Drosophila melanogaster: one gene and its partner. The protein of the gene in region 2 interacts with the protein of the main gene of each other region in a biochemical or structural test. Each region holds a gene or a part of one and is shown on either strand. Other genes may lie near its edges. The genes, in order: Pka-R2 and Akap200.

Region 1 (5,049 bases), on a different chromosome or scaffold from region 2:
AAACGAAAAAAAAAAACAAATTTTAAATGGTGTGCAAACGTTAAAAAGTCAATTTTTTGATTTCCAAAAATTTTCGAAAATTTATATTTCAAAATATAATATTTCAAAACGTAGGCAAAAAAAACTAATTGGTGGGCAAAAACGGGCAAACGATTTTAGCTTTCAAATTTTAAAAATTCGATTTTCCGAACCCAGCTTCTTTGAGCTGCTGATGGATGTTTGTCTCTCGCCTGTTGGTTGTTGGCCAACTGTGTTGCTGGGCTCTTATTCTCCTTTGTCCGTTTGGCGAAGATGCCAAGTTTACAAAATGGAGGAATTAATTGCAAATACAGCTCATCGAGAAGGAGCTCGAGAATTTATTATCTGGATTCCGTTTTGCAACAGGGGAAAAGAGGATATTAAGAACGGGAAATGTAGTCGGATTACATAAAAAAGGGTGTAACTGGGGAATTTTGAATTCAAGCAGTTTAAAAGTCTTAAAAATAGATGGCACTGCATAGAAAGGCACCTTCCAGTTGTTTAATAGTTCCTGTTGTTATTTTCAAAGAAATCTGGGTTACATTTAAATCTAGACAAAGAATTTTAAGTTATTTGAGCAAAATGATTTTACGATTTAGTCCACGCCTAGTACTTTTTACAGTACCATTTATATGTTTATTTTTGTTTTTATAAAGCTTGTCCAACCCTTTTATTAAGTTTTTATGAAAGTAATTATTGCTTTATAAAGGTGAAGTATATATACATTTGTAGAAACAACGGGTGCCTGACTGAGCAGCAAAACTCATAATTTTCCTAAATTATGAAGTGAAGTGTGCCAACTAGTCATACTAGTTGTACTTGAATGCTTTTCTTTAATTTTCAAACTTATAGAAGCGAATTCTATAAAAGTTATCCGGGGGTATTCACTGATTTATGGCCCGCGTACTCATTTCAACAATATTCGAGTAGAGGTATGGGTACATATATGGTGGGGCTCATTCCAGAATATCTCAGTGGCTTTCTGAGCACTTCGATCCCCGCCACACTAGCTGTAGTATAACCTCACCTGGCGACCCACCTGCCCAAGCAGGCGACTTTTGCTGGCTTTTTAATTTCTGTTTGCTCTTTAGTTGTTTAGTTGTTTGTTTATCAAGCAATGCCAACCCTTGAGCAATTGATAAGCGCGTGAAATATTTAATCGCACGGGGAGCAAACACAAATGGCAGCGGAATGGAAAGGAATGGAATGGAATGGAATGGATTCCAATGCGAATGCGGCGCGATACTCACCTGACTTTCTGCTGCTTTGCTGTCACCTGCTGGTGGTGATAGTTTCTTTCGGGTGGGTGGGTCTCCTGCGTCCACCTGTTTCACCTGCTCCTCCGTCTCTTTCTTCGCTGACTTTTTTTGCCTTGTTCCTTAGCTTGCTTTTGTTGTTTTGGCTAAAACCAAATTTAATTTGTTACTCTCATGGACTTTCCTTGTTTTTCTACATTTATTTTTGGATCGTTGATGTTGGTGTTTATTGCCGCTTTCGCTGTTGTTTGATGTTTTGAAAGTATTTCGGTTAATAGATTTTGATTGCTGGATTCGTATTTACTGAGATTTGAGCGATTTTTTAGTTGTCGTGAGGTACACTTTTGAAACATCAATTAGACGAGCTCCAGCCATTAAACTAATTTTCAATCTTATCAATTTTCAATACGGTGAATTTTTGTACATGTATGTAATTAGTTTTGGTCTGGTTTCACTTTATTTGTTTTATGCCTAATATTTAATTCCCAAAAGGCATGAAATAATAACATGCCAAAAGTCACGTAAACCAATATTTAACCAGGTTTTGCAAAAATTTCGTTTAAGCTTTGAAGAAAAACATTTTTGTTGTTCGCCAATGTAACTGCTTAATTAATTGGGTGCCCGAAATTGTTTTTCGCTTGAACAGACATTTTTGTTTTCTTGTGTGCTTAACTGCAATTGTTGTTTATTTTTGAATTGCTACAGCGAGCCAGCACAATTCATTTGTTCGGTTATAAATAAAATATGAAGTGAATTCTGGTTGTCACTTTGCAAAACCTAATAGGAAACACAAATTAGCGAACAAAATTGACGTGATTATTTTGCTTATTGCTCAAATTTGATCAAAACCTGCTAAACGATGGAGGAACTTTTGTTTTTTTTTTTGCGAAATAATTTGTTCAAGTTGGCCTAAATAAACATGTTGGTTTTTGTGTATAATTAGGCATTTGTATTGTTGTTTATTCTCTACTTTCTTGCAACTCCTACGTAAATTGACTTTATTTTGCTTGACTTTTTTGGGTTTGTAATAATGTAGGGGCTAATTCTGATTGGCATCCTGAAAAGCTGGCGCCCGTGACCCAATTTCCGAATATCGATAGGCGTCGATAACGCAGGTAGCAGTTGCACTTGCACTTGCACTTTTTTGAACTATTCTTTAACTATTGTTAAATCCAAACAAGATATGATATCTGGCAAAAAAAAAACTACTGATTAGGGCAAGTATTTAGTTAATTGATCACTGCACTTGTTTAAGACTCGAAAAATAGAGCGCTCAAAACCGGCATTTGAATCATATGCGCAAGCCCCTCTCTCGCTCCCCACTCTCTCTCAATCTCTTCGCGCTCCAATTTGAGATCCCCTTTCTCCACCTGCACTCCGCACTCGCTGTCTCTTTTTCACACGCAGCTCTCGTGTTTATTGATTGTCCCCCACCGAAAAAAACCTTCAAGTAACAACAACACAACAACAAAAGCAGCGGATAGGTAGATTTCTGTATGTATGTATTTTGTATTTTCGGGGGAGGGATTGGGAGGCAGGCCACCTACACCGCCTCCCGCCTACAGCCCACTTCGTTTTTTATTACGCGCACGTAGTGTGGTTTTTTTTGCTCTCTGCTCTCACATTTTTACATACACTTGCACAATTGAAGAGAGAGCGAGAGGTGATAAGTGCACAGGTGTAGGGGCGGGGGGCGGGGGGCGGCGCGAAGCTGGAGTTAATTTGCGAGCACGCTTTTTTGTTTTTCGGGCTTTTCTCTTCGGTGCAATTACTTTTTCGACTTTTAAACGCACATTTTCCAGCGATCCACCAACGCACAACGGCACACGGTTCTATATTTTTGCCACCGGCGATTCAACCGCTGTTACTCGTTAGATTTTTTGAAAAATTTTAATGGCAAACGTAAACAAGTGCGAACGGTGAAATATATCGCAAGCAGAAGCCTCTGTATTCCGATTCCGTGTCAGGCAAAAATTACAAAAAGTTTTGAATTGCGGGTTGCTTAAATAGACTTGGTGCTCCCGCAAAAGCTCGCTCTCAGCGGAAGCTCTCTCTCTCTCGCGGCCAGCTCTCTTGCGTGTGGGTGTAAAAATACTGAAGAACATACCAAAGCGGGGCAATTGTAACGTAAGTTTTTCAACGGTTGTCTTCAGATATTTAGAAAATTAAATAAAAATATATGTAAGAAAAATTGACTACTTAAATGAAAGAAACCCCTAAAATGATAACACAATGACGTATTAAATGCAGCATTAAATGGACGTATAGTCCATTTTGAAGGACTAATAATATAAAAATCATTTTTTATTATTATAATTCCTTTGGTGGTCATAACAAACAGTGGGAACTGAAGCGAGGTCTAAACAAACGTTTAAGATGCAATATTTTAAAAACAAGATGCAGGTCGATCCGACTGTCCACTGATCATCCGTAAGGGCGTTATGATGATCGCATCATTGTATAGTCTAACGGCGGAGATGTCAAACTCGATAGCTCTATAGCTCGGATTTGTAGATAGTCCACAGCTTCATCAATGGTTGGGATCTCGGTTTTCCCGGATTTCGCTTTGAATAGCGGGTGCGTACTGTGCGTTTCCGGACTGGACTGTTCCTTCCCATTGTCCATGTTTATTGAATCAAGCGCTTTAAATTCAAATCGCAATAAATGTTTTCATTTCACTTCTTGAGAGAACTACATATGTTACCAGGTGGAATGAAAAATCTGTGCATTATTATGAACCTGACCGATTAATACCATTAACCGATAGATACCAACACTGGTATTATGTTCAGACCACATACTGTCCACCGAGGTTGCACGTGCGTATTTTGTTTGCAACAGTTTCAATCGAGTAAACGAATTGTTGATGAAAACGATGCTCGCCGCCCCCACAGCCAGCAGCAATGGGAGGCCTATTGGGCCCCACAAGTCCTGGAAGAAGGTGAACGAGGAGCGGAAAGCGTTGAAGCGGCAGCGCAAGCAGGACAAGCTGCTCAAGGAGCTGCAGCAAGCCAAAGAGGCAGAATCACAGGCGGGAAAGGCAGCCAATGAGGTGCAGGCTAAGGATAAGCCTAATCCGTCCACGCTGAGCATAGCTGTTCCCGGTTCAATTCTCGAGAATGCCCAATCCAACGAGCTGCGGGCCTACGTGGCCGGTCAAATAGCCCGGGCCGCCTGCATCTTTCGGGTGAACGAGGTAATCGTCTTCGACGACGTGGGTATAGCCACCGCCCGGGAAACAAAGCGTAGTTACGAGGCAGATGGGGAAGGCAGCAGCACTGGCACTGTGCGCAGCAGCTCATTACAACTGGCACGCATATTGCAGTATCTGGAATGCCCGCAGTATCTCCGAAAATACTTCTTCCCGCTGCACAAAGACCTTAAGTACTCTGGCTTGCTGAATCCATTGGACACACCGCACCATCTCCGTCAACAGAGCAAATTCAGGTATCGTGAGGGCGTCATTTGCGACAAGAAGGCCAAGGAGGGACACAGCTACGCCAACGTGGGGCTGCTTAACGACGTTTTGGTTGACAAGGCAATAGAACCAGGCGTCAGAGTAACTGTAAAAATGGAACCTCAAAGTGGTAGGCATTTAAATCGAACATTTGTGCTCCCAGTGCCGAACTAATGAACTATTCGTCCTAACAGAGAGCTGTAGAAAGCAGCGGGGAACACTAGTTAGCCCGGATGAACCACGTCGGGAAACAGGTGTTTATTGGGGCTACCAGGTGCGCATCGCACACTCCATGTCTGAGATTTTTACCAAATCACC
Region 2 (4,940 bases):
TAGTACCTGCCTCTGGAGTTACTGGTGCGGTGACAGCTGCTGGGGTGGAGATCAGTGATAAGCCGCTGCCAAATCCATTGATCGCCTTTGATGAACCCGCCGGTCCCACGGGACTTCGCGGCTGATCAAGATCCAGCACTATATAGTTTACTCCGCAGCTGCCCGCTAAGCTGGTGGGCGTGGCCGGCTCTTGATTGGAAATTGGTTCCCTCGGCAGCAGAGGGAGCTCCAAGCGATTTACGTTCTCATAGCAGCGCTCATTGTTCAGATCAAAGATCAGAGCTTCCACATTGGCGTACATGTGCACAGCATCGTTGGGACTCAGAACTGGAGCTGGTGCTGGGGCCGATTCCAGAGGTGGCAAGTCCATCGTGCGCCTACGTGATGTCAACCTATTGCCGGAGGGCGGGGTGGAAAGCAAATCCGAGGCGGTGCCTTCCAGACAACAGTCCTGCAAAGCCCGCAATGGCTGATCCAAATAGGCACTGGGTATCAGGACTGGTGATTGCAAATTGGGCGGAGAGTCATCGACTTGCGAATCGTTGGCCTGCAGCGGATACGATGCACTTGTGCTCGAGGGCTCACTGTGGAAGTTGCCCAACTGGCGGCTCATTAGGGGAGCCGGCTCTAGATAGTTATTGCCCTCAGTACGGCCCATATTTACGGACACCGAATGAGCGGAGTTAACCCTTTCTCGTTCGCCCTGCACAAAGGCATCTGTATTCACCGCGTTGATGTAGCGCTGAAACATCGGATACAGCTGCTCGGCATTGTGGACTCGAAACGTGTAGATCCCTGGCCCAGACATACACCTACGTCCTGCTTCGAAGGAGAAGAGATCGTTATTCAACCCATAACGTCGGAGGTGTTGCAGTGCCCAGACAATGGGCTCACAGCCAGGCGACTGGAATATTAGTTCCCGGGGCGTTAGCTCCAGGTAGCCACTCCGGATGATGGGCGTACCCGGGGTGGGTTGCAGGTGAGCCACTCGCACTCGAAACACATTCTCATGACCGCGCAGCTCATTTAACTTGCTGCTGCTGGTGATGCAGCCCATGGTGTTGCACTGAAAGACGGAGTATTATGCATTGAAGGATTATCCACTCCAGTCATGTACAGTGCCTATTGAAATGCACACCTGGACAGGCAAGTCCGCCTGGCTGTTATCGCAGCGGGCATGGAAGAAATCGCAGGCCGATAAGAGCACCACCCACCGCCTCCACCAGCTGAAATCAGCTACCCAGTGGAACTGGAGGCTCTGGGGTGCAGTCGAATTGTGTTGCTGTTATCCTGGTTGACTCCTCCTGCTTTGGTTAACTCCTGATCGACGGGACTGCTGGCTGATTGTTGTTATTTGGCCACGGAAATTCCGTTCTTGTGGTATAAAATTTCTTCTGCGACTTTTCCCCTCGCCCGACAGAACGCAATTGTGAGCAACGGGCATGCTAACTTGATTTTCGCAAAAAGACTTACAAGAAACGCTTTTTAAAAAAGTAAACGGAAAATCAAAGACAAATTACAAGTAATTACACTTAAAGAATGAAAAACTAGTTTAGCCAAGTTTAAGCCAAGGAAATATTAATATTTCAAAATTTATAGAAAAATATTGCAAATGTCAGCTTAATAGAAGTTTTCTCTCGTTTAATAGAATAATCTTGAAGATTTCTTACGTCGTAATTTTTACGTTTCTGCAAATGTTTACTGCAATTAACAAGTAATAAATAGGATTCAGATGTAAACAAATATAATTTATAAAAAAATTTTAAGTTAAGGCATTTTAGTCATCTTAATTGTATGGTTAACCATTTGGCGGAACATCAACTTTGTGGACAGCACTATAACTAGACCCGAAGCCCTAACGCGTTCTAACTGCGAAAACATCCTAACGCGACGTAAATACCAGACCCGAGCGGACATTTTTTATTTGTGGAGCGCGCAACAAGAACGAGAAAAGAAACCGAAACGGAAAGCAGGCAAAAAGAGCTGCTGCCAGTGTAGAATCGCAAAGCAAAGAAAGAAGCAAGTGCGTGTGTTTTTAAACCGAAACCGAGAGAATCGAGCCAGGTAAATTCCACTTTAAGTCATAAGATCAGAACATAAAGGAGTTAATTTAAAAAAATAAATGAAAAAGAAACCAAAGCCAAGCAGGCAGACGGCTTGCGTGTGTGTGTGTGCGTGAGTGGTGCTACTTTTGAAATTCTCTATACCCGCTTTGAATTTCGTGTTTGTTTAAAGGAATTGTGATTGAAAAGGAGACAAAGAGTTATTGACGAAAAGTTTCTAACTGGTTTCAAAAATGGTAACTGTATTTGAGGCACAAGTGTTTGTAAAAGAGACGCCCGCCGACGCTCACACACACAGGCAGGAAAAAGGACGCCATGGAAGGCGGCTTAGTGTGCGTGAACGGTGAAGAATGGGAGAAGCGAAGACTAAAAGAGATATTTAAATGGAGTTTTATGCATTTAAGGAGAACTTTCTTTGTCATTAACCCCGCCCCCGCAAAATACAGCATTCGAATTTCGCCACCTTGGAGTAGTTGCCTTTTTACAAAATTTTTGGGTGTGCCGCCTTCAATGCGTCGGCGTTGCCACCACGTCGGCGTCCGCAGCAGCAGCGCAGGCAGTGACGGCGGCAGAGGCAAACACCATGCCGGTGTGGCTTTGTATCCGTATCCGTCTCGCTCTCTCTCTCTCTCTTTGTCTCTTCGGCTCAATCTAGCGCTCTCTCCTTTTTGTGCCTCGCCTTCCTTCGCCTCGCCCGCTCATCGCTCTGGTCCTTTGTGCCATCGCTTCGCCTTGACTTCTGGTTCATTGTCGTTGTCTCCTCTTTGTTTGCATTGTACGCCTGATTACACTTGCCAACATGTTTCTACCTTCTCAGCCAAACATCCTTGTGCAAGGTGCACGCACATAGCGAGTGCCCACTGTGGCCATTTGATCTTTGTATACGTTTCGATCCCTTTTGCGTCTCGGTTTACTCAGATTATCGATACGAGGAGGATCGTCTTTTTGTTTTTCCTACACTTTTGTTGCGAAAAACTGCGTCGCACTTTCTGCAGCGTCGGTTTGTCAGTTCGTCCGTCCGTCCGTCACTCAGTCGTTCAATCGCTCAATCGCAGACGGGCAGACAGCCACCGCCCTAACTGGCGTCGCCTACATGTCTTTGTGTGTGTGGTGTATGTGCTTGCGTGCCTGGGGTAGTGTGCCTGTGTGCGTGCCTCGCTGCATGTGTGAGTCCTTTACGAATGGAGTGGGTGGGCAGAGGCCGAGGAGGAAGAAGCAGAAGCGCAATCACAAGATTTTCGATTGTCAACTGCAATTTATACTACTGCTAAGAGAATTTTATGATCTACTTGCAACGCTGAATGCTAATGCCTTAAATTTTAGTAGCCTCTGTCAAGGATCTTAAATTCAAGTTCTTGTCACAATCATATTTCTTAAGTATATAATTACTTTTATTGTTAAATATTTGTACTGTACTTAATACGTAAAACGTATTTGACAAGTGAAATTTCATGATTGCTCTACTGAAATCTTTTCTTTGAAAATGAATGCTCTTCTTTGTGTTCTAACCTGACCAAATTTATTTGTCAGTGACCCAATTTAGGCACCAAAACTGTAAATATTTCCGAAAATCTTATCAATTTGCCTGTTGAAAATTTGATTAGGAATGGAGTTTGCATTCTGAATTTTCCCCACTCCCGAAATTTGAGCAAATTGAATTATTTCGCTGCGATTTCAGGTAGCGGTCGCCAACCGAATGTATCTTTGAAATTGGTTTATTGTTAAGGAGGAGGGGAGGGCGCCCCATAGAATTTGTGGCGGGTTTTCCCTTGAAGTCGGCTCGAATTTCGTGTACATATTTGCCAGTCGTTCACTGAGGACGAGCATATACATATAATGCTTTTTGGTGTCGCCTTTATTGGCGAATTTGTCAACGTTTGCTCAAACTCGAGTAAACATTGCATTGCGATACGGTGTGGAGGGACTGGGGGCAAACATGCCGTTTCGTCAAGTGCGATTCGCGGTTAACCAGCAATGCTCGATCGCACAATTGGCCTTAAAGCTGTCGATTAGGGTTTAAATTTAACTGCGAACTATTTGGAAATAAACAGAAATCTTTTCCGGAATTACAATACAGTAAAACTTGATATTCTAAGAAGTTATAGATGGTTCACGTACGGTTATAGAATTTCTTAGTGCAGTAAAGGTGGCAAAGCATGTACGAAAAACATATTTTCGACTATTTACTAACGCATGTAATGTTATTGACAACTGGAAAGATTCCAGGAACATGCCTTTTGTTTATCAACATAGTAATTATATATCAATGCTCGTGCAGCTACTTCCTGGAAATGAGTGTAAGTAAGCATGGTCATTTTGGAAGTAACCCATACGATCTAATGATTCGCAGAACGGAGACACCGGTCTGCCAGGGCACATTTGTGCGCTAAACATATGAAGCTCAAAGTCCGAAGCTCAATTGGGGAGCATGGGTAGCTGCGTATATATGTATGTATATGGGTGTGTGTGTAAGCCAAAGTGTTGAGAGGTCCTTTGTCACCGCTGCCATACATTCGTATATCTACGAAAGCGAGCGAATTTCTCATTTAATATGCAAACATCTGTGTGAAAGATGTTCGAAGGCTGCCGCTGTGATGTGCTGCTGCTGGGGCTGTGTGAGTGGAAAACGTTTGCAGATTGAGCTGATTTTCATTTCACGTTCTCTTCTCGAACAACTCGAGTGATATAGCCCTCGGTTCGACCACTTGAGGCCACTAATTCCGCAGGAATTCGGTATGGTTTCAGGCATACTATCATAATTGCTGGGGGTGCACATTAAAATTTTTTTTTTTTTTGTGTTGTAGGTGTTGTTGTTTTGGGAGGCATTTGGCGTGCCGAATGGGCATTGTATTAATGCCAAATCAACAGAAATGTGGA

What was found.
Region 1: the proteins of Akap200 (region 2) and Pka-R2 form a complex in vitro, tested with the Drosophila melanogaster proteins (one study listed by BioGRID).

What each region holds. Positions count from the first base shown.
Region 1 is NT_033778.4:10,022,783-10,027,831, forward strand, and holds the start of Pka-R2 (protein kinase, cAMP-dependent, regulatory subunit type 2), read right to left. Parts: upstream 3,261-5,049; 5' UTR 3,047-3,260; intron 1,578-3,046; exon of another isoform or gene 1,421-1,577; 5' UTR 1,269-1,420; intron 1-1,268. Other genes in the region: CG12128 (uncharacterized protein), read left to right, coding at 4,141-4,861, 4,926-5,049. UniProt on the Drosophila melanogaster protein: Regulatory subunit of the cAMP-dependent protein kinases involved in cAMP signaling in cells. Mediates membrane association by binding to anchoring proteins, such as Akap200. Might play an essential role in the regulation of neuronal activity in the brain.
Region 2 is NT_033779.5:8,413,823-8,418,762, forward strand, and holds the start of Akap200 (A kinase anchor protein 200), read left to right. Parts: upstream 1-1,867; 5' UTR 1,868-2,064; intron 2,065-4,940. Other genes in the region: CG13398 (uncharacterized protein), read right to left, coding at 1-1,057. UniProt on the Drosophila melanogaster protein: Scaffolding protein involved in the regulation of PKA signaling and anchoring to the actin cytoskeleton integrating signals propagated by cAMP, diacylglycerol and calcium.